2 linked regions of the Elephas maximus indicus genome follow. The protein of the gene in region 2 binds, or shares a complex with, the protein of the main gene of each other region. Links are inferred from orthologs where the notes say so. Each region holds a gene or a part of one and is shown on either strand. Other genes may lie near its edges.

Region 1 (10,379 bases), on a different chromosome or scaffold from region 2:
TGGCCTCTTTGTCCCTATCTACCATAAATCTTATTTTTTGGAAGCCCTTGTTCAAGACCAGAAGAGGCGGCATTGTGAGAAGCCTAAGAGAGTAAAAGTCAAAGTAAGGATACCAGGGGCCTACCCAGGATGTGATGGTGTTGTGGTCAATGGGCTTGCTGGGCACCTGTCTAGTGTGACTGATGGGAAGCTGTGGAGATCCACAGTGGTGTTTGGGGCCCTCCAGTGGTTGTTGGTGGAATAGCAGTGGGGCTTTCCGAGAATGCTGGCTGCGTTTTTTTCTGGGCGGCATCAATAGGTGAATGAAGAGCAGTAAGTAACCACATGATGCTGGCTGCAATCAGGTACTGGGACACACTCCAATTCCAGCCAATGCCTGCAGAGAAGAAACAAAAGCCGGGAGGAAAATAACTCAGATGATGCCCCAGCTCTGCCAGCTAATTTTACTATAAACTACTACCCGCACCTGAAGATTGTGGGGAGCATAGCTTCCTACACCTACCCCACCAAGCAAAAACACAGTAGTTCCTATTCAACAACATTCATCCCGTGAACATTTACTAAGCATGTGTTAAACACCATGCTGGGTAGTGAGAATTAAAAGATGAATAACCATTGGTTTGACAGTGCGGACCACTCATAAGGATACAAGGGTCTGATCGTTGCTATCTTCAAGAAGCTGAGTCTAGTGGGGGAGACCAAAAATTACAGTACAAAATGAGAAGAATGTTTCCACTCTCTTCAGGGGAGGCCTCCAGGAGAGGGAGATACCTGGCCTAGGCATGGAAAGAAGAAGCAAAGAAGGGCACTCCTGCTGAGGAACAGCGTATACAAGGGCACACGGACAGGAGGTATTGTGAATTAAGGGAATCACAAAATCAATATAGGTGGACACAGGGTATAAGGAGATGAATGGCAAGAATTGAAGCTAGACATGGAGTCAGAGATCAGAAAAATAAATTGTGCTATATGAGCTTGGACTTTAGCCTGAGAAGTCATTGAAAATTTTCAAGCAGAACGGTATGATTACATGTGGCTTTTTTTTTTCTAATTTAACTTTTTACCCCAAATAGTTTTAAACATACACAAAAGTAAACTGAATAATATAATGAGCCCCCACGTACCATCAGCCAGCTCCAAAATCCATCAACGCATGACCAGTCCTGACCCATCCACACTCCTATCCATTTTCTCCACCCCTTCATTATTTTGAGGCAAATACAATATTCCCAGTCATCCTATCGTTCCCATAAATGTAATTAAAATATATATATAAATTCCTTAATATCATCAAATAGCCAGTTTTCAAATTTTCAATTGTCTTAAAAATGCCATATTTGTGTTTTTTGTTTGTTTTTGTCTTTTAGACAGATCATCCTGGCTACAATATGAAAGGAGAGTATCTTAGTCACCTAGTACTGCCATAACAGAAATACCACAAGGGGATGGCTTTAACAAAGAGAAATTTATTTCCTCACAGTATAGTAGGCTAACAGTCCAAATTCAAGGTATCAGCTCCAGGGAAAGGCTTTCTCTTTCTTTCTCTGTGGGCTCTGGAAGAAGGTCCTTGTCTTCAATCTTCCCATGGTCGAGGAGCTTCTCCGGTGCAGGGATCCCAGATCCAATGGATGTGCTCTGCTCCTGGTGCTGCTTTCTTGGTGGTATGAGGTCCCCAACTCTCTGCTTGCTTCCCTTTCCTTTCATCTCTTGAGAGATAAACGGTGGTGCAGGCCACACCCCAGGGAAACTCCCTTTACCTTGGATCAGGAAGGTGACCTGAGTAAGGGTGGTGTTACAAATCTCACCCTAATCCTCTCAACATAAAATTATAATCACAAAATGGAGGACAACCACATAATACTGGGAATCATGGCCTAACCAAGTTGACAGAGAGGAAGAGTACTCTGGAGATAAGGGGATCAGTTAGGAGGTTACTGTGTCATCCAGGAGAGAAGTGATGAGGATATGAACCTGAGCTCTGTCAGTAGAGGTGGGAGGCTGGAGACAGATAAGGCCAACAGGACCAGAAAGTAATAAAAAGTCACACAACAGAGCAGATTGTTTCCACTATACATTCATGAGTCAGAAAATTAACATGATCTGATTTATATCACTAGGCAGTAGAGAATCAGGGGAAGAAGGAGAAAAAAAGGACAAAGTCCCCACCTACCCTCAAGGAACTAACATTTCAGGGAGAGCACAAATAATGAACACATCCATTTGTTCATTCATTCATTCAACAAACACTTACGAATGCCTACTATATGCCAGGCACTGTTCCAGGTACTGGAAATATATACCAGAGAACAGTATAAAATCCCTGCCCACATGGTGCTTTAAATCTGAGAGCAATCAGTTAACTCAACTCTTCATTCTGTTTGATTTTTTCAGTGGAAAGTGATAAGCAGTAGGAGAAAAATCAAACAGGATAAGGGGTTGAGCTGACTGAGTGCTATTTTAGATCAGGTTGTCAGGGAAGGCCTATCTGAAGAGGTAGCATTTGAACAAAGTCCTGAATGAAAAAAGAACAAGCAAGCAATGGAAAGATATGAATGAAGAATGCTGAACTCTGAGAGAATAGTAAATGCAAAGACCCTGAAGTGGGACTATTTCTGACCTGTTCAAGAAACAGTAAGGTCAGGGTCACTGAACTCAAGAGTAGTTAAAAGATGAGGTAGTAGAAAGGCAGGAACCAGTTCATGTGACACAGGGCTTTGTAGGCTAGGATTAGATTTTATTCTTAGTGTGATAGGAAGTCACTGAAAGGCCCTGGACAGGAAGTGACATAAGCTGATTCAGAGTGTCAAAAGATAACTCCAGGTACTTTGCGAGGAAAGCCTGGTTGGGAAGAGAGGGGTGGAGAAAGGAAGCAGGGAGTCCAGTTAGGCTACTGCAGGAGTCCAATGGAGACAGAGATAATGGTAGCAATGGCCAAGGTTAAAGGTTTGAAATTAATGACTTGCTGAAATTCACCATCAAATGGGCCTACTGCCTTGCCCAGCAATCCTACTATGATTCCCTGATCAACTCTCCACAAAGATTATCTTAAGTTTTTTCCACTTGCTAAGACTTCTGAACTCCTCTTCTCTCAACAGATGACCTTACGTCCTACTTCACAAAGAATACAGAAGCCACCAAAGGAAATACTCTCATTTTCTAGAAATCAACCACACAAACCTATGCATAGCTGCATCCATCCTCTTTCTCTCAGCTGTAGAGGTGCTGTCAGTCCCTTCTGCAGTCTAAGGCCTTTCCCTCCACCTATGCTTTGGCACCCTTCTCACTCATACACTTTTCTTGTGCAATCTCACTCGCTCATATTTTAATTTCTGCCTACTGTACACATTCAGTTTAGAATTCTCTAAGCTCAGGACCCATATACCCATTGTCTACTTGACAGCAACTAGGTGCCTCAAATGTACCTGAAACTCAACATGTTTAAAACTGAACTCATCATCACCTCCCACCTCCAGGGCCCTGTCTCAGCAAATAGTACATGCTTCATCCAGTTATGCAGCCAGAAACCTGCCACTTCCCTCTCCCCGCCTCCTTCATCCAACCCAGCACCAAGTCCTGTCAATTTTACCTCTTAAATTTGTCTTCAATAATCGTCTCTTTCTCCCCCTGTCTTCACCCCTTCCCCCCTTCTTCAAGCTCCAACCAGTTCTCCCATGGAGTATCACGACAGCCTAACTGGTCTATCCTAATCCACTTAAAAATGTGCAATTTAAAAAATGGAAGTTTGACCATGACTCACTGATGCTTAAAACTTGATTGGCTTTCTTGAGTTTTTGGATAAGGACACAACTCAGTATGGCTAGGCTCTGCTTTCTCTTGCTCCAGCTTCATCTCACACCACGCTTCACTCAGGTCTGTTAGCTCGAACTTCTTAAACAAACAAACAAACCCATTGCCACTGAGTCAATTCCAACTCGTAGCAATCCTACGAACTCCTTAGATTACAGATATTTTTCCGACTTCATACTCACCATGTGTCCTTCACACTCACAGCCTTTGCACACTTCATTCTCTCCCTCTACTTAGAGGGCTTCCCTCCCTTTTTTGCACAAAGGCATCAGATCTCACATCAAGCTTCAATTCATCAGAAAACCCTTTCTTGACCTACATAACTCAAGACCTCATTACAGATACTCAAAGTATCATTTACCTCTACCACTTCACAGCTATAATTCTACATTTGATGATGTTTGTGATGCCAGCCCCTTTCCCCAGTTAGTCTGGTAAGCCCATGAGACAGAAAACTGTCTACCATTGTATTCCCAGGGCCTATCACACTGCCTGGCACATAGTAGGTGCTCAGCAAACATTTGTTGAGTAAGTGAATAAAGCACTTTAGTCCATTATATCAAAAAGCTTGGCTGGCAGTGGAGACAAACAGGAGACAGGTCAGTAGTTGAAGATTTAGAGTTGAGGGAGAATTTATTTGTGTGTTTTAAGATGCAAGACACTTGGACAAGGTTATGTGCTACCCTTGAAGAACTCTCAGTCTAGTTGGGGGTACCAGAGGATCGGTAATCGGAGGTGAATGGACTACAATTTCCCCCCATTAGGATATCAGTTAAAACAGACCTTTAAAGAGGGTATGGAAATCCTGAGAGGGGTAGCGTGGAGGGTGGGAAAGCGGCAGAAGCAGGCCGAGAGGGGCCGTGTCCCAGTCACCACCATCTTCCCGCGTCCCCTCACAGTCTCTCCGCTCCCCCCACCCCAACCGCAGGGCCCCCCTCTCGCTCCTTCCCGCTCCCACCGCCCCCTCTGAGCCCACAGGAGCCTTCTCCCTTCGGGCCGGTCCCGGGCTTCTCTTACCCGCCCGGCAGGGTCAGGGCCGCGTCTCCTCTCAGGTCTCCACGGCTTCGAGCCCGGAACTCGGAGACAAGGGCCGGCGCCGATTGGCGACGCCCCGTCACGTGACCGCAACGCTCCGCCGGCGCCAATTTCAAACAGGGGAACAAACTGAAAGCTCCGGTGCCGGACCCCACCCCCGGCCCCTGGCCCGGGACCCCCTCCCCTCCCGGGATCCCCCGGGATTCCCCACCCCTCCCGCACCGTCGGGGACCTGGCCGGCCTGGCGCGAGTCCCTATCCGGGACCCTGGCTCGGCCCCCAGATTGGAGGAGCCCGGAGTCCGCCCTAGGAGCCTCACCCCAGCAGCGGCGGAGGCTGCAGTCGGGAGGTGAGCTGGGCAGAGGAATGGAGGCTGAGGCCGGGCCTGGGCAGAGGCAGGGAGCAAGGTCTCTGGCACCGCTTCCGTAAGTCCTCCGGGCGAGGAAGTCAGGGAGTCTAGCAATAGGGTGCGGGACAGGAGTGGAGGTTTGGGACCACACGGGGAAGGAGGTCTGAGTAAGGGTGCAAATTTTTTCTGCATCCAACCTCTGGTCTCGGCCTTCTCACTTATTTCTCTAAGCACCACTTGGCTTTTACTGGAAGTGTGACCTCTGTACCCTGCATCAGGAGGGCTGAGGTGGCCTACCAAGTGTGAATCGTGGCTGAACTGAAGACTGAGCTTATTCTCCAGTAAGTGAAAGATCAACCCACACACACTCCCCTGCTCTCAGGCGCTCTCACCACTAGGCAACACTGCCTCCACCCTACTCTTACAGGGCCCTTCTCCTGGTTGTTGAGAATCTAGCAAGGTTTCCCTGGTCAGGATGGGGTTACTCTGGAAGTCACCGGGCTAGAAAGTGTTGTTGGCAATACTAGGAAGAGGCTTGTCAGGCTAGAAAGTGTTGTTGGCAATACTAGGAAGAGGCTTGTCAGGGAGTAGAAGAGAAAATTAAGACTTAGACCAGGAAGAAGATATTTTGGAGGAAGGGGAAGATAATAGCTACTGGCTGATGGGAGGAAGGAGGGGAGGAGGCCAGGAGAGATATGAGGTGGAAGTAAAACTGAGATTTGAAGGTAAAGGAAACCTAGATATATAGGAAGGGGAAGAGGCAAAGTGGGAAAGGCCTGTGAATTCTAAGCAGATGGCACCAAAAAAGCAGATGGCAAATGTCATACAAATGTGTCAATCATTTTTCGGGAGATAGCAGATGTCCTAAAAGAGACAGCCAATTTCCCTGTCTCTCAAAGTACCTCTAAATAGAATTACACAATTTTGCATAAACTGGCAGAGTATTTCATGTAGCTATTAAAAATTAACAAAGCACAATTTTTCTCCCCAAGAGAAAAACTACCCTCCTCAGCATTACAAAGCTCCCTTAGCATATTGGTGATAGTCCATTCTAGGAATCAGGAGATAAGGTTTATCCTCTTTGTTCTGGAAGAGAAATTAATACAGTAACATGCTTAGAAATCTAAAATAAAGATAAGCACATGCAAGTACTAATACTGTCACTGCGTAAGTATTTTGTAAACTGAAAGAAAAATACTCTTTTTATTAATGCAACCAAAAACCAAACCCATTACCATCGAGTCTTTTCCAACTCATAGCAACCCTATAGAGCAGAGTGGAACTGCCCTGCCCCATAGAGTTTCCAAGGAGCACCTGGTGAATTCAAACTGCTGACCTTTTGGTTAGCATCTGTAGCTCTTAACCACTACGCCACAGGGTTCCCTTATTAATGCAAGGATAATGATAATGTAGCCTGTAAAATGAATGGCACCCGCTAGAGTTGTGCAGTGCACAATCTGCACAACTTCACCATGGCCCTTAAATAGAGCAAGGGTTGCCTGCAAGCTTTTTATCTGAGCCCTTGTGAACTAGGAGATGATTTCTCCAGTGCTACGGCAATAGTGCAATATGCCTCTCTCCCCTGATTCTGTGGGCACTGATCCTATTTTTTACAGAGTAGAATTACATAAAAATATAAAGGCTCTATCCTAGAATGGATTATGGCATTAGAGTTTTGTTGGGACTATATATCACCATATGCCTTCCTATTCCAGCATCTCCCATCCCTGTCCCTCCAGTCATAGCAAGTAATGTGTATTATAATTTCTACATTTTGTGGCTATCTCACTTGTTTCTGTAGCCAAGCATTCTTAAGCTTCCAGCAGGAAGTCTTTGGCTGTCTTGACCCAAATCCAATCCAGTTCCACTTTCCCCCTTTGAATTGCTTCTGTTTGCTTCAGTTTTACCTTTCTTTAGTCAGTGGATTTCATCTTAGTATTGGAGGTAAGCCTCTACAAAGGTCAGGGAGCATTACCTGGGCCCTTAGGCTCATACTTCTGGCCATAAAAATAGGAATGCCTCTCTAAGAGAAGCTCCTTCTCAGCCTAACAAATCTCTGATATCCTGCTCCTCCTTATACTTTCCAGGGTCCATGCTTGTGATTCTCAATGGAGAGTGAAAGCACAGATTCATAATGAAAACCAGCCCCCGTCGGCCACTGATTCTCAAAAGACGGAGGCTGCCCCTTCCTGTTCAAAATGCCCCAGGTGAAACATCAGAGGAGCAACCTAAGCAGTCCCCTGCCCAACAGGAGCCTGGCCAAGCACAGGCCTCCAAGGAGGTGGCAGAGTCTAGCTCTTGCAAGTTTCCAGCTGGAATCAAGATTATTAACCACCCTACCATGCCTAACACCCAAGTGGTGGCCATCCCCAACAATGCCAATATCCAGAGCATCATCACAGCACTGACCGCCAAAGGAAAAGAAAGTGGCAGCAGTGGGCCCAACAAGTTCATCCTCATCAGCTGTGGGGGAGCCCCCACTCACCCTCCAGGACCCCAGCCTGTAACCCAAGCCAGCTGTGATTCAAAGAGGACAGAAGTGATAACCGAAACCCTGGGACCAAAGCCTACAGCTAGGGATGTGAATCTTCCTAGACCTCCTGGAGCCCTTCCGGGGCAGCGATGGGAGAGCTGTGGTATGTGATCTGCAAGGCAAAGGGGTGAGGAGCCCAGCCTTTCTTCTCTGGTGGCAAGGTCTGCAGTCAGTCGTATTGATGCTTATAACAGACAGGTGTGCAGCCTGAACCAAGTTTCCTCACCCAGTAGCTTTGACCATATCCTCTGGGCACCATTGAAAGCATTGTGATTATAATTTAGCATTTCTATTGCCTTCTTTATATTGGAAAAGAACTTATTATTTCTATTTCTCCTTTCCATTGATCCTATAAGGAAGTAGAAAACTAAAGCAGAAGGAAAAAAAGTTACTTTCCTTGTGCAAATACTCAAATAACTCTTCCGTAAGGTTGCCTTGCCTGATCTTTAAGGTGCAACGCAGCTTGATTGAATTGCAACTTGAATTTCTCCTGAAATCCCTAATAAGGTGGAGTAACTTAGGGCCCATTAGATTTAGCATGTGTTCCCTGTCCCTAAGGGTAGAGGTCTTGGAGTAGTGGTCCCTAACCACAAATTTTGATGGGCCTGCCAGGCGTCTGGTCAGGCAGCTAAGTGGAGTCTTGGATTGCTTTCTGTCTAGCTGGCGGTGAGGCAGCAGGCTGCACTCTCGACAACAGCTTGACCAATATCCAGTGGCTTGGAAAGATGAGTTCTGATGGACTGGGCTCCTGCGGCATCAAGCAAGAAATGGAGGAAAAAGAGAATCATCACCTGGAACAGAGTCAAGTTAAGGTGCACCGCTCTAGGGCACTCAGTAGGGGAGTTAGCCATTGTGGGGAATTTCTAAAAGGGAACTAGATCAAGTGGCCTGCTGGAGCAGGATGTCCAAGCTCTAGTATTTATACTCCACTTAGTGCTATTCTGGAAGCCCTGGTGGCGTAGTAGTTAAGAGCTACGGCTGCTAATCAAAGGGTCAGCAGTTGAAATCCACCAGGCGCTCTTTGGAAACTCTGTGGGGCAGTTCTACTCCGTTCTATAGGGTCACTATGAATCAGAATCAACGGAACAGCAATGGCTTGGTTATTTTTTTTGCTTGCTTATTGCTACTCTGTTTTGAGCTACTTTTCTCCCTGGGATCTTTTTCTTCCACCTGTGAGAATTCCTTGAGAGCCAATTCCTCAGGCTGGCTCGCTCTATATTTCCATCAGTACTGAGTATAGTACTCTGCCCTTAGTAGGTATTCAGGAAACGATGACAAACTTAGTTTGGGAAGCAACTTTTATGTTAGAGAGGCACCCCAAAGTATGAAAGGAATACAGCATCTCTAACAAGATAATTGTATTAGAAGATTTAATATTAATAGCAAATAAAGTGAATTAGATGTGTTTTGAACACATCCCAGCAATCAAGATTTATTTGACCCAATCATATGGTCTGGGTTGTTTTTCACAGTTGCCAGTGTCACACATCTAGATTCTGTTGGATATATCCTTTAATCATTCATTCAACAACCTTTGAAAGTGAAAATATACATGAATGTATACATATATAAAACTTAATTGAGCTGTACACTTAAGATTTGTGTACTTTATAATTATATGTCAATTTAGAAAAATGGGAGTAACCAGCACTTAGCCAAAAGTGTACTTTTGGGAATGGTTCTCTCATACAAACATTGAAATGAGATGAATTTATTCACATCACATCAGGAGGAGGAGTTGGACTAAGACCTAGTTCTCTTGACCCCCAAATCTGAAAAACAGGTATGGTTTTACTATAAAGCCAATACTTTGAGAATCACAATATATAACCAAACTCTGCTGAGATGTTTCAACTAGAAGTAATTGGACCTCAGCTTATTAACTGGGCAGTACTTTGAACAAAGGAGTTCTGGTGGCACAGTGATTAAATGCTCAGCCACTAACCCAAAGGTCAGTGGTTCACACCCACCAGCCTCTCTGCAGGAGAAAGATGTGGCAGTCTGCTTCCATAAAGACTACAGCCTTGGAAACCCTATGAGGCAGTTCTACTCTGTCCTATAGCATCACTGTGTGTCAGAAACGACTTGATGGCAATGGGTTTGGTTTTATATGTCTTCAACAAAATGGTGACAGAGAAGTGATTCAAACATTGACTGTGGACTGGACTAGATCATCCCTAGATCGTTCTTAACCCTACAAATTTTTTTCTATGGAATAGTGGTCTCAGATAAGTATGTATCTAGTACAATTCTATGGATAAAAATTTTCTCTAGGGGATGTTTATGGCGGGGGGGGCCTTTCTTGCAAACTCTTCCATGTCATTCCCTTTTTTCCTTCCCTTTGGCTTCTCGTAACCCTCAGGTTGAGAAGGCCCCTGGAGGATCAACATCCTGGCAGGACTCCATGTCTGAGCGGCCACCCTACTCTTACATGGCCATGATACAATTCGCTATCAACAGCACTGAGAGGAAGCGCATGACTTTGAAGGACATCTATACTTGGATCGAGGACCACTTCCCCTACTTTAAGCACATTGCCAAACCAGGCTGGAAGGTAATATGCCCCTTAACAGCCAAAGTTGATGTGACTTTGGCCCTACAGTTTGTCTCTGGTATTGTACAGCAGTTTCTGTTGGTGTTCTGAAGGAGCAGCTCA
Region 2 (10,841 bases):
GGCTCCGAAGGGGCTGTGGGCTGGGACCTCTTTTGGTTTTATGACTTCCTGATTCATTTGGAGGGGAGAGGAAACGGGGGTTAAGTGGTGGCTTCCTGGAGGGAGTAGGCCTGGAATCTGTTTGATCAGAGTTTAGGTAGGGGTCTGGGGAGAGGTGGTCTGGGGCTGGTCTGGCCTAGCTGGGGGAGGGGAACAGCAAGCCTTGCTAGCTAGGCCACCTGGGGCCAGAGCCCGCCCCTACCCCTTTCCCAGGGGACAGAGCTGGAGCTCGCTGGGGCCCAGTGGACATGCTGGGCGGGCGGCCAGGCCAGACTTCCTCTGCTTTTGCTGCACTGGGCCCAGCCTCCCAGCCCACCTGCCAGTCCAGCCACCTGCCTCTCCACCCCGGGCGGCGCCCTGCCTCCCAGCAGCCAGCTCCCTCCTCGGCCTGGGAGGAGGTTCACCGGGAGGCCTCAGCCAAAGAAGGAAGCAGCTGGGCCTTGGGGACGGTCCCTGGGTGGGAGGGGTCTCTGAGCACAGCTGACCATGATGAGTCTGCAGGGCTGGAAGCTAGGAGCTCCGTGGGGCCTGACAGGAAGTATGTGTGGGGGAGGAGCAGGGCTGGCAACAAGGCTCGGCCAGGCCAGGGTGCACAGCGCAGGGGAGAAGAAGGCAAGCGTAGCGGAGCCCTCACCTGTGAGCCTGGAGTGGAGGCTCTGGCTGGCGGGCCTGCTGGGAGCTCAGGTCCTGGGACTGCAGGTCTGGCTCTGACAGCGTGGCCAAGACAAAGTGGCCGTCAAGCAGGGAGTCCTCGATAGTGAAGATGGCTGGCCTGGGCAGGGGACCAGCCCAAGGACAGTCAGAACCTGTAGGCCCGACATCCCCTGTCCCCTGTCCCCTGTCCAGACGTAGGACCTACCTGCCCGGAGTGTCAAAGTGAATACTGAGAGACAGATTTGCTGACTCAGCAAAGCTCAGAAGCCCCTGGGAGGGAAGAAGGAGGGTCAGGCCCTGTGCTGGGCTGGGCAGGGAGGTCGGGACAACGCGTGCATCGGGGACACCTACCCGGAATTCCTTGAGGCAGAAAGTGACGGCCACCCCTTCCTGGGCCTGCAGCTGCTGGAAGTCTTCCTCCGCGATGCTCATTTCTGTCACCATGGCTCTGACAGTGCTGTCTGGGGTGGGAAGGAACAGGAGGAACCTGGGTCCCGGCCCCTGCCCTTGCCTGCCCAGCTCTGCTCCCAGCCCAGGATGTGTCCCTCCCAGACTGGCTCCCTTACCTGCCTCCTCCTCCTGGTAGCTTCGCAGGATGACCCTGCGGCCATGGCTAACACCCAGCGTCACTTCAGCCAGCGCAGGGGGGAATGGCAGAACAGCCTCCCCCAGGACCCTGTGAGGACAGGCAGTGTTATCCCCAGGCCAGGCCAGCCCTGCCCGGCAGCCTTGCTCTCAGAGGACTAGAGGACGGGGGGCTACACACACACACTGGCATCTAAGGAGAACTACACCTGGGCCAGGCCAGCACCCTGGGAAGGAGAGGGCAGGATGAGCAGGCCTGGTCCTTCCCTGCCACAGCCCAAGTCCACTGAAAGCAGGACGGGGTCGGGGGGGTGGGGGGCGGCGGGACAGACAAAGGCCCACACAGGGCGGGCAGCACCAGCATACAGGATGGGAGAGGGCTCTCCCGCGGGGAAGGAAGAATGGGGTCCGGAGGTGGGAAGCCACACCCATACCGTCCCAACCAACCGGCCTTCAGAAAGAGCCCCTCCCTAACTTCTTGTCTTTGACCAATACGTGTGATAAATGAAATAACACCTGGAGTCCGCCTCAGAACAACGGGACACAAGCTGGGGGTGATGGTACAAGGAGTCAGCATACTATGTTCTACTTTTTTACGTGTTTCAGACTGTCCATAAGACAAATGTTCATTAAAAGGAGTGATTTAAATTGTCACAAAACTCAGACCAAAAGGGACGGCCTTCCCCCTTTCTCTATCCAAAGGAGCCCTGAGCGGAGCTCTCTCGACAGAACTCAGGGAAACAGACTCTCAGACCCAAAGGGAACCTCACACAACCATGTCCTAAGGCTACCAAGAGAATGAATGGGAACTCGGCCACTTGGATGCAAGCAGTGCCCAGGGGCCACTCCTCTCTGAGGTGGTACTTGTCAGGGACCCCTGCCTTCCCTGGCATCCCCACCTCCCTCACCCTGCAGTGCCCAGAATACTCCACTCTCCTGGACCACAACCTCCCCGTCTGGCCTTCTGCCTGGGCCTGGGGACTCCACGAGCCAGCGCCAGGGCAGGCGATAGTCAGTGCCCACGCTGAAAGGGGGAAGACCCCCAAAGTACGACTGGGCCCTGCAGGGAGCTGAAACCCTGAGCCACCAAGGTTAGGGATGGCCCTTCAGCTGCTCAGGCTAGAGAAAGTGACTGCTAGAAGAGACATCAGGCTAGGTCTGAGGCTCCCAGAGAGCCAAGTCAGGCCTGAGGTGTGGAAAACACAGGGGTGTAGAAATAGTAAGGAAATGGAGGAAGGGACACCCATGCACCCCCTTTGCTCAGCCCCTACCTTCGAAGAGTCAGACAAGGGCTGGAGAGCACACAGGGCTGGGATCCACAGAAACCCTTTACGGAAATGGAGAAGGTGCCTCTCAAAGAATCCAGATGGGGGACTGTGCTCGAGGTGAGGGGGAGGGGGTGTGCTCACTTGGCCGGGGCACGGAGCACATGGGGGCATGAAGCTGGGTCGAAGACGGCCTGTAGGGACTCGCAGTCCTGGAAGGACAGGTTGTGAATCTTCCTCACCCCTGTGTGGGCAGACAGGGTCTCAGGGGGGCTTCTCAACCCCCCATGCCACACCCCAGGGCCCCCGAGTCGGCACTGCCCACTCACCATACTTGCAGTGCAGCTGGACCACTAGGCGGCTGCTCCTGCCATTCAGGGAGATGTAGCACTTCTCCACTGTCTTCTCCAGCAATGCCAGCGAGCGAAAGACTGACAGGAACGACTAAGGGGAAACGTAAGCCAGCGCTATGCCTCCAGCTTGTGAGCCCCAGCCCAGCCCATCAGCCAGGACAGGGACCGCCACAATGTGCGTATGTTCACACGCGTCCAGGCCTTGGTTCTGGCTGTTCGCCCTGTCTGGAGTGGCCCCACCCTGCAGGCTCACTTGGATTCCCCATCAGTCTGCTGCTGTTCCATATGCCCCCACTACTCTCCGAGAAGGTCTTTACTGAGCCCCTTTCTCTACCCCGTTAGCAGCTACTGAGTGCCCAGAGTGGAGGCCCTGCAGGTGGGGGTTCCTACCAAGAGGGGGCCTCACCTTCATCAGGATCTTACAGCGCACGGGTTCCTGGGCTTGGGTGGCTGCCTGGTACTGCTGGAAGAAGAGCGGGGCGAAGAGGAAGCAGGCATAGGCAGAGCGGGAAGAGTTCACCGTCCGGAGGGAGAGCTGGGCCAGGTGAAGCAGGGTGAGGGGGACGGGGGACAAGGTCAGGGGCAGTGACAGGCTGGCCCCATGGCCTGCCTCTGCTTACAGAACTGCCCTGATGTCCTCCACCACCACCACCCCCGCCGCCAAACCAACCAAACCTACTGCTGTGGAGTCAATGCCAACTCATGGCAACCCCATATGTTACAGTGTTTTCTTGGCTGTAACCTTTACAGAGGGAGATTGCCAGGCCTTTCTTCCTTGGTACCACTGGGTGGGTCTGAACTGCCAACCTTTAGATTAATTGTTGTTGTGATGTTGTTATGTGCCATCGAGTTGATTCTGACTCACAGAGCAGAACTGCCCCATATAGGGTTTCCAAGGAGCTGCTGGTGGATTGGAACTTCCAACCTTTCAGTTAGCAGCCCAGCTCTTACGCATTGCACCACCAGGGCTCCTCAAGCGCAAACCATTTGCACCACCCAGGAACCTACCACCTCCACCATCACCTGTTAGATCTTCCCTCTCCTTCAAGGACAGTCTCAATGGGTCCTTCCTTGGGAAGCCTTCCCTGACCCTTTCTCGACCCTGCTCCCACCTTCAGCGCTGTCCCCACACTCTGCCTTTCTCCCTGCTTATCTCTAAGGCTAAGTCGCCCCCAACCCGTCACCGGCCACTCCAGGGAGGGCAGCTGCTCTCCGCTCACACACCAGGCTGGGAGGTTGACAGGGCCCAAGACGAGCTCCAGCAATGGGGCCGAAACTGAAAGAGCTGACAAGCCCACCCGCGGCCACCGTGCCCGGGGAGGCGGGATCCTCCCCACGCCCCAGCCCCTCACCCCGTCCTCCAGGGGCTCCAGGTAGAGCTCGTCTCCGATGCGGGACAGGGAGTGGACCGCCTTGCCAAGCACTGCAGGAGAGCAGAGAAGGGTTAGGTAGGTGTCTTGGCCTGTCCTACGTGTCCCCGCCGCCCAGACTCACCCTTTACGTTGCCGCCTGTCACCAGACACTTCATGCTGCCCCAGTACCGCACCGGGCTGATCCTGCAAACCCACCCGCGGAGCCCCCGCAACCGGCCCGGCTCGGGGCCCCCCCGCCTCCACGGAAGCCTGGGCGCCCTTCCAGCCGCCGCCCCGCCGGCCCCGCCCCCGCTGCCTCATTGGCCTGCGAGCGCGCGCCGCCGTCACGTGAGAAACGCTCCCGGCCCCTCCGTCACGTGACGCAGCCGTTCTCAGGCGCAGGCCCCTATCACGTGGGCCGGAGCGCGGCGGCGCTTGCGGTGCTCGCTCCTTGTAGCCCTCCCGGCCCCTCCGTGCCGTTGGGTGCTAGGCCACTTGGCGGGGCGCACGAGCGCGGGGACACTGCTCCAGGGCGGGAGGTGCATGGCGCAGTGGAGCGAGCCCCGGGCTCGCAGGCCAGAGCCCGGGGACGAGCCCGCCGGGGCCCTTATTTAGTACAGACTTTCGGGCGTGTCTGGGGATACTGGGTGGAAAGCAGACCGTCCGCACCCAGTATGGGCTGAGGACTCGGACACACGCAGCAACCACCACCTCTCAAAAGATGTTAACGCGACGCGCTGCAGGAGCCAGGGGTGGGCGGTGGCTGCTCATTCTGGTTTCAAGGGGTGGCACCTCATTGATTCAGGAAGAGAAAAGATTCTCCTGACAAAGGGGTAGAAGAGCAAGAGCGAAGCGCGTGGGGATTGGCACCGGGGAGAGGGAAGGGGCGCCACCAGACGATGAGGCCGCTGCTGGGAAACACAGGAAAAGGTTGACGAGGGTAGAGTCGTGGTTTTGAGACTATTTTTTTAAAACCCAGCATTGTGCGAAAGGAGGCGTTCATCAGCCGGAGGTCCTCCCCTTGCCCTGCACCTCAGTCCCACGTGTATGGAGTGGAAGGCAGGCCAGGGTGGGAGCCCTGACCTCTAGCTCCCGGCAGCACCGAAGTTTGGCCGTTCGAAGGGTCTTCTGCTTCCCTTTAGGGTCAGCCAGTGCTTGCCCCCCTTGGCCCTGTCTGTAGGGACGCGGCTCTTTTGTCTCCTGGCGCTGCACTTCTGCACCCGCTCTCCTTGCCCTCAGCTCCCCTGCCTCACCAGCCCTCACCCCCTCCCTAGAGCAACGGGGCAGGAGATTGTAATTCCCTTTCTCCTTCCCGGGGATCAGTGTCAATGACACTACCTCCACCTGGGCATACAGGCCAGTAAACGGAGTCCCTGTGGACACCACCCTCTTCCCAGATGCGCCAATCCTGCAGCAAGTCTTGACAGTCCTAGCTCCCAATCAGATGGCAAATTTGCCCCCCTCCCCTGCCCCGGTTCTGTCCCTGCTGCCACCGTCCTGGTTTGGGCCACCATCCACTCTCCCTGGATGGCTGTTAACAGCTGAGTGGTCTTCTGCCTCCACACTGTCCCCCGCCCCCATCCACCCTCCATACAGCAGTTAAAGTGACCTTTCTAAAATGTCCATGGAATCATGCCACTCCCTGTTTAGATCCTGCAGTGGTTGCCAACTACTATACTTAGCGTAAGATCCCAAATCCTTACCCAGCCTGTAGGAGCCGGCCCAGCATCTCTCCACCTATCTCCTGCCTTTCTCTCAGTCACCCTGCCTTGCCCCACAGGCCCTGTTGGTTCTCTGAAAGGGCCACATCCTTTTCCCCTCGGGATCTTTGCACGTGTGTTTTGGTCATAGCAGTTATCACAAGTCTTGTACATGTGTTTACTTATTTAACGTCTGTCTTCCTCACTAGTACATGAGCTCCACAAGGGCAGGGACCTTGTCGGTTTTGTTCATTGCTGTTGCCCTGTCTCTCACACAGGGCCTCAGTGGATGGTCAGGAAATAGGTGTTAGTGAATATGCCATCCAGATAAAATGGCGCTGCCTGTGAGTTGCCCTTAGCATGGTGCTAGGGTAAAAGCAGCAGGCCAACCTGACCTGCCTAATTCTTCTCTTCCCATCTCCACTCTCTAGCAACAAAACAAAACCCAGCACCAGCTATTCTCTTTCTTACCACCCCCTCCCCCCACCCCTAAGGTAAATCGGCACAGCCTCAGGGCTTCTCCACCTCCACCCTGTTACCACTGAAGACCTATTACCTGGAGTAGGAGAGCATCCCAGTGCTCCTGTCTGGAAGGCCAAAGAGGGGACAGCTGTGGATATTCCCATGGTCAGGTTAATTTCCCTGACCCCTGTGGGTCTGTAGGGCCCTGTGGCCTTGGGGTTTTGCATCAAGGCCCAAGGGAGAGAGAAACACAAGCTCTCTAGGGCTGTTTTTTTAAATAATTAATTTTTGTTGTTGAACACACCAACAATTTCTCCATTTACAATCTAGTGGCATTGATTACCTTCTCTGTAGGACTCTTTAATGAGTCTTCATTCACCCTCCCCCCAAAGTCAGGAATCACTGGAAAGCTCTCAAGGACATGGAGCTAGGCACCAGGAGGCTGGGTCTCTGTCTGGGCTTCAGCGCTGATTTGCTGTGTGACTTTGTGCAAGTCCTTCCCCGTCTCTGGAGCTGTTCCCTCGTCTAGTCAAGGTGATGACGGAGCGCTGCTGGCACAACGGTTAAGCACTGGGCTACTAACCAAAAGGTCAGCAGTTCAGACCCACAGCCTCTCCAGGGAGAAGGATGTGGCAGTCTGCTTCTGTAAAGACTGCAGCCTCGGAAACCCTATGGGGCAGTTCTACTCTGTCGTGGAGGGTCACTGTGAGTCGGAATCCACAGCATCAGGTTTATGATGTGTTTGATGCGGGGTGAGATGCCCTCGGAGACCCTTCCAACCCTGACACACTGAGGTTCCCTGTGCCCCTCATCTGTCCACAGCACTGGAGAGGAGCTGCCATTGGCTAGTCTCACCAAACTAATGTAGCTATTACCATTAAGCTGCACAACAGGAAAAGAAGGGGGGGGGGCAAAATGGCAAATAAAGCATTTTATATAATTTATAACTACAACAGCAGCCAAAACAAAACGGGGGAGGGGAGCTGTGCCTGTTGATGCTATCCACTGCCATAGACTTGGTTCTGACTTAACAATCCTGTAGGACAGAGTGGAACTGCCCCATAGGGTTTCCAAGGGTGTAAATCTTTACAGAAGCGGGCTACACATCTTTCTCACACGGAGCAGCTGGTGGGTTCAAACTGCTGACGTTTCGGTTAGCAGCCAAGTGCTTAACCTTGCTGAGGGTTCCTTCCTGTTGATACTACTTAGGTACAATGAAAAACTTCATTAATTCTCTTGGTTCAAAAGTTTCGGGTGGTGGCTTTGTGGGTCCATCCAGTCAATTGGCCTAACATTGTTTTCAGAGTTTCTGTTCCACCTCCTAATTTGGTGAGTAGCACCTAGGGTCTTAAAAGCTTGTAAGCAGCCACCCAGAATACCACAATCGGTCCCTATTTGCCTGAAACAACAGAAAAGAAAGGAGATTCAGGAATAGGAAAAGGAAATGGACTGCAGGTTTAACTGTCTCCATCAACTACTACCTCTGTTACCATGAGACCAGGAGAAGTGAATGGTGCCTGGCTACCGTTACTGAACATTTTGATCAAGGACTCAACAGCTGGATCCTGATCAAAAGGGGGGAATGTGGAACAGTCCTCTCCCGTGCTGGAAGGCTACGGAGCCTCTCTAGGCTTGCACTTGCCAGAGGCAATGAAGCATTGCAGGTCCAGAGGGAGGAGGGCACAGAGAGGGATGAGAGACATGGAGCGACCAGGGCCCCTTTGAGAGCAAGGGGAGGGCTGGGCAGGGGACGGGTATAGGGACCCAAAGTGGATGTCGGGTCTGCACTGGAAGACGGGAAGCCTGTGGGTGGGAGCTCCAGCCCTACTCTGGGCCTCAGTTTCCTCAAAATGAAGGGCTGCATGAGATGCTCTCTTAGGACTCTTTAAAACCCAAAGTTTGTATACTCTTTGCCACCCCTACGTTAGAGGTGGCCACCTATCAGTAGGTAAGTGGGAGGGGGGAGCCGTGGTAGACACTAATGGAGGAAGGTGACAGTAGTTACTATTTCAAGCTTTTAAAGTAATTATCTGTTGGGAAATTTCTTCCCTTCAACCACCACTTCTTAAAGCCACCGCCCAACTAGTTAGGTTTGAAGTCACAGCAATCACCACTGCTGGGGATGTTAACAACAACAAACCCCACTGCCGTCGAGTCGATTCTGACTCATAGAGACCCTATTGGATAGAGTAGAAACTGCCCCATAGAGTTTCCAAGGAATGCCTGGTGGATTTGAACTGCCGACCTTTTGGTTAGCAGCCGTAGCCCTTAACCACTATGCCACCAGTGTTCCCGATGGGGACGTTGGAACTCAGTAATTCATTCATTCCATGCGTGTTTCGTGCACTTTTCTAAGCACAGGAAATAGAGTACAGAATAGAAAATCCTGCTCTCAAGTGGCTTCTACTGAGTGGAGAAAGAAAGACAACCAAAGACACAAATAAATGTATGTTGTTGTTGTTGTTGTTAGGTGCCCTCGAGTTGGTTCTGACTCACAGTGACAACAAAACAAAGCACTACCTGGTCCTGCACCACGCTCCCAATTGTTGTTATGCTTGAGCCCATTGTTGCAACCACTGTCAGCCCTTCTTGTTGAGGGTCTTCCTTTTCTTCGCTGACCCTCTGCTTTACCAAGCATGACGTCCTTCTCCAGGGACCAATCTTCCTGATAACAGGTCTAAAATATGCGAGATGAAGTTTTGCCATCCTTGTTTCTAACGAACATTCTGGCTGTACTTCTTCCAAGACAGATTTGTTCGGTCTTCTGGCAGTCCATGGTACACTCAACATTCTTTGCCAACACCACAATTCAAAGGTTTTAATTCTTCTTCGGTCTTCCTTACTCACTGTCCAGCTTTCACATGCACATGAGGGATAGAAAATGTATGTTAGAAGGTGATAAATGGTATAGGGCAAAACATGGCTGGGAGGGAGGGAGACAGGAGTGTGGAGAGAGAGGGCTGCAGCCAGATGCTTACTGAGAAGTCCCCATTTGAGCAAAGGCCGGAAGGAAGGAAGAAAGGAAGGCAGGGAGTGAGCCCCGCAGGCTCTTGGGCAAGCGCATTCCAGCACAGGGAACAGCTGACGCCAAGGCTGTGCAGAGAGCTGGCCTGGCTGCGTAAGGACCCGTACCCCTGGTGGCAGGTGCCATGCTAGGCCCTTCTGGTAAAATGGGGAGGGCGCAAAAAAAGAAAAAAAAGAATTGAGGCTCCTGAGCTCAGGGGGTACAATCTAGTGAGGAAACACATTAGTCAAAGAATCACCAAGGTAAATATAAAATTACATCTTTGAGAAGGACCAGGAACAACGAAGGCCTGGGCTATGAGAGCTTGTCATTAGGTAGACAGACCTGGTCTTGGCATTGGGGATGGCTTCCTGGAGGAGGGAGCCAGCCAAGGGAGGTGTGGCATGGAGAGTTTGTTGGCGAGGAGAGCGTATGCACTGAGGAGCCATTGGTGGCGGTGAGGATAATTCAGCAGGTACCATCTGTCCTGCCTGGGCACCCTCTGCTGCCCTCCCTGTAGATACTAGAGCAGAGGTGGGATTACTCACAGCTGGGGTTTTGCCAAGTTGGAGTAACTGAAAAGCAGAAGAGTAGAGGAGTCTGGGGTTTGGGAGATCACTCTGGTTTGTCCTGATCTGGTCCCTAAGGCAGCACCTCCCTGCCTTCCCAAGACACTGCACGCACAGGAAATGGTACTTGCTGGGGGGCACTCGCTGACCCCTTGTGTTGCCTTTGTGGCACATGGGGGTGCCGCTGGCTTCCTATTGGCAAGCTCTGCCCACATCTTTCTTGTTCCCCAGCGTTTATCCCCACGACCAGAACAAGGCTTGGCCATTGTTGTTATTGGCGTTGTTAGGTGCCAGTGCCATCGAGTCAGTTCTGACTCATAGCGACCCCATGTACAATAGAATGAAACACTGCCCAGTCCTGCACCATCCTCACAATCATTGCTATGTTTGAGCCCATTGTGCTTGGCCATAGTAATGCTTTAATAAATATGTGTTGAATGACTGAGGAAAATGGGACTCAGAGAGGCTAGCAGATTTGAACCCAGGATTATCTGATAAGATGGCAAGGGGCCCTCGGCCCAGCCTGCCTGGGTCAGAATTCTGCCTCCATCACTTAAAAGTTGTATGAAAACTGGAGACGCTGAGTATGTTCTCTGAGCCTGAGTCTCCTCGTCTGTAAATTGTGGGTAATAGTAGCAGTCCCCACCTCAGAGGACTGCTGTGAGGATGATACCTAATGTATACGGCTCTAAGAACACACAGTTATTGTCGCTGTTATTACTGCTGGGTCCTCCTCCTTCTGGAAGGGCTCCCACAGTATCCCAGGGTCAGTACTGGGGACAGAAGAAACCATCAGCTTGGACCAAGCCCGGCAAGTCTACATGAGGGGCCTGGAGGAAAGGCCACCCAGAGAAATGT

What was found.
Region 1: the proteins of RAD9A (region 2) and RHNO1 are in contact, whole or in part, in a crystal structure (PDB 8WU8), measured with the Homo sapiens proteins. The link is inferred for Elephas maximus indicus from reciprocal best matches to the Homo sapiens genes RAD9A and RHNO1. Residues at the interface, in NP_004575.1 of Homo sapiens: Val41, Ser44, Arg45, Ser46, Ala47, Tyr48, Glu130, Leu132, Gln133, Ala134, Val135, Glu165, Tyr181, Glu183, Thr216, Phe217, Cys218, Gly244, Pro246, Val261, Leu262, Ala263, Thr264, Leu265, Ser266; in NP_001239428.1 of Homo sapiens: Thr88, Lys90, Phe91, Pro92, His93, Leu94, Thr95, Phe96, Glu97, Ser98.

Annotation. Positions count from the first base shown.
Region 1 is NC_064822.1:59,067,652-59,078,030, reverse strand, and holds the start of RHNO1 (RAD9, HUS1, RAD1-interacting nuclear orphan protein 1), read right to left. Parts: upstream 4,920-10,379; 5' UTR 4,825-4,919; intron 1,758-4,824; exon of another isoform or gene 1,479-1,757; intron 377-1,478; 5' UTR 293-376; coding exon 125-292; intron 1-124. Other genes in the region: FOXM1 (forkhead box protein M1), read left to right, coding at 7,325-7,826, 8,384-8,535, 10,086-10,277. UniProt on the Homo sapiens protein: Involved in microhomology-mediated end-joining (MMEJ) DNA repair by promoting recruitment of polymerase theta (POLQ) to DNA damage sites during mitosis.
Region 2 is NC_064825.1:130,420,733-130,431,573, reverse strand, and holds the start of RAD9A (cell cycle checkpoint control protein RAD9A), read right to left. Parts: upstream 4,527-10,841; 5' UTR 4,425-4,526; coding exon 4,391-4,424; intron 4,320-4,390; coding exon 4,249-4,319; intron 4,243-4,248; exon of another isoform or gene 4,121-4,242; intron 3,432-4,120; coding exon 3,303-3,431; intron 2,988-3,302; coding exon 2,873-2,987; intron 2,788-2,872; coding exon 2,688-2,787; intron 1,370-2,687; coding exon 1,260-1,369; intron 1,155-1,259; coding exon 899-1,154; intron 812-898; coding exon 674-811; intron 1-673. UniProt on the Homo sapiens protein: Component of the 9-1-1 cell-cycle checkpoint response complex that plays a major role in DNA repair. The 9-1-1 complex is recruited to DNA lesion upon damage by the RAD17-replication factor C (RFC) clamp loader complex.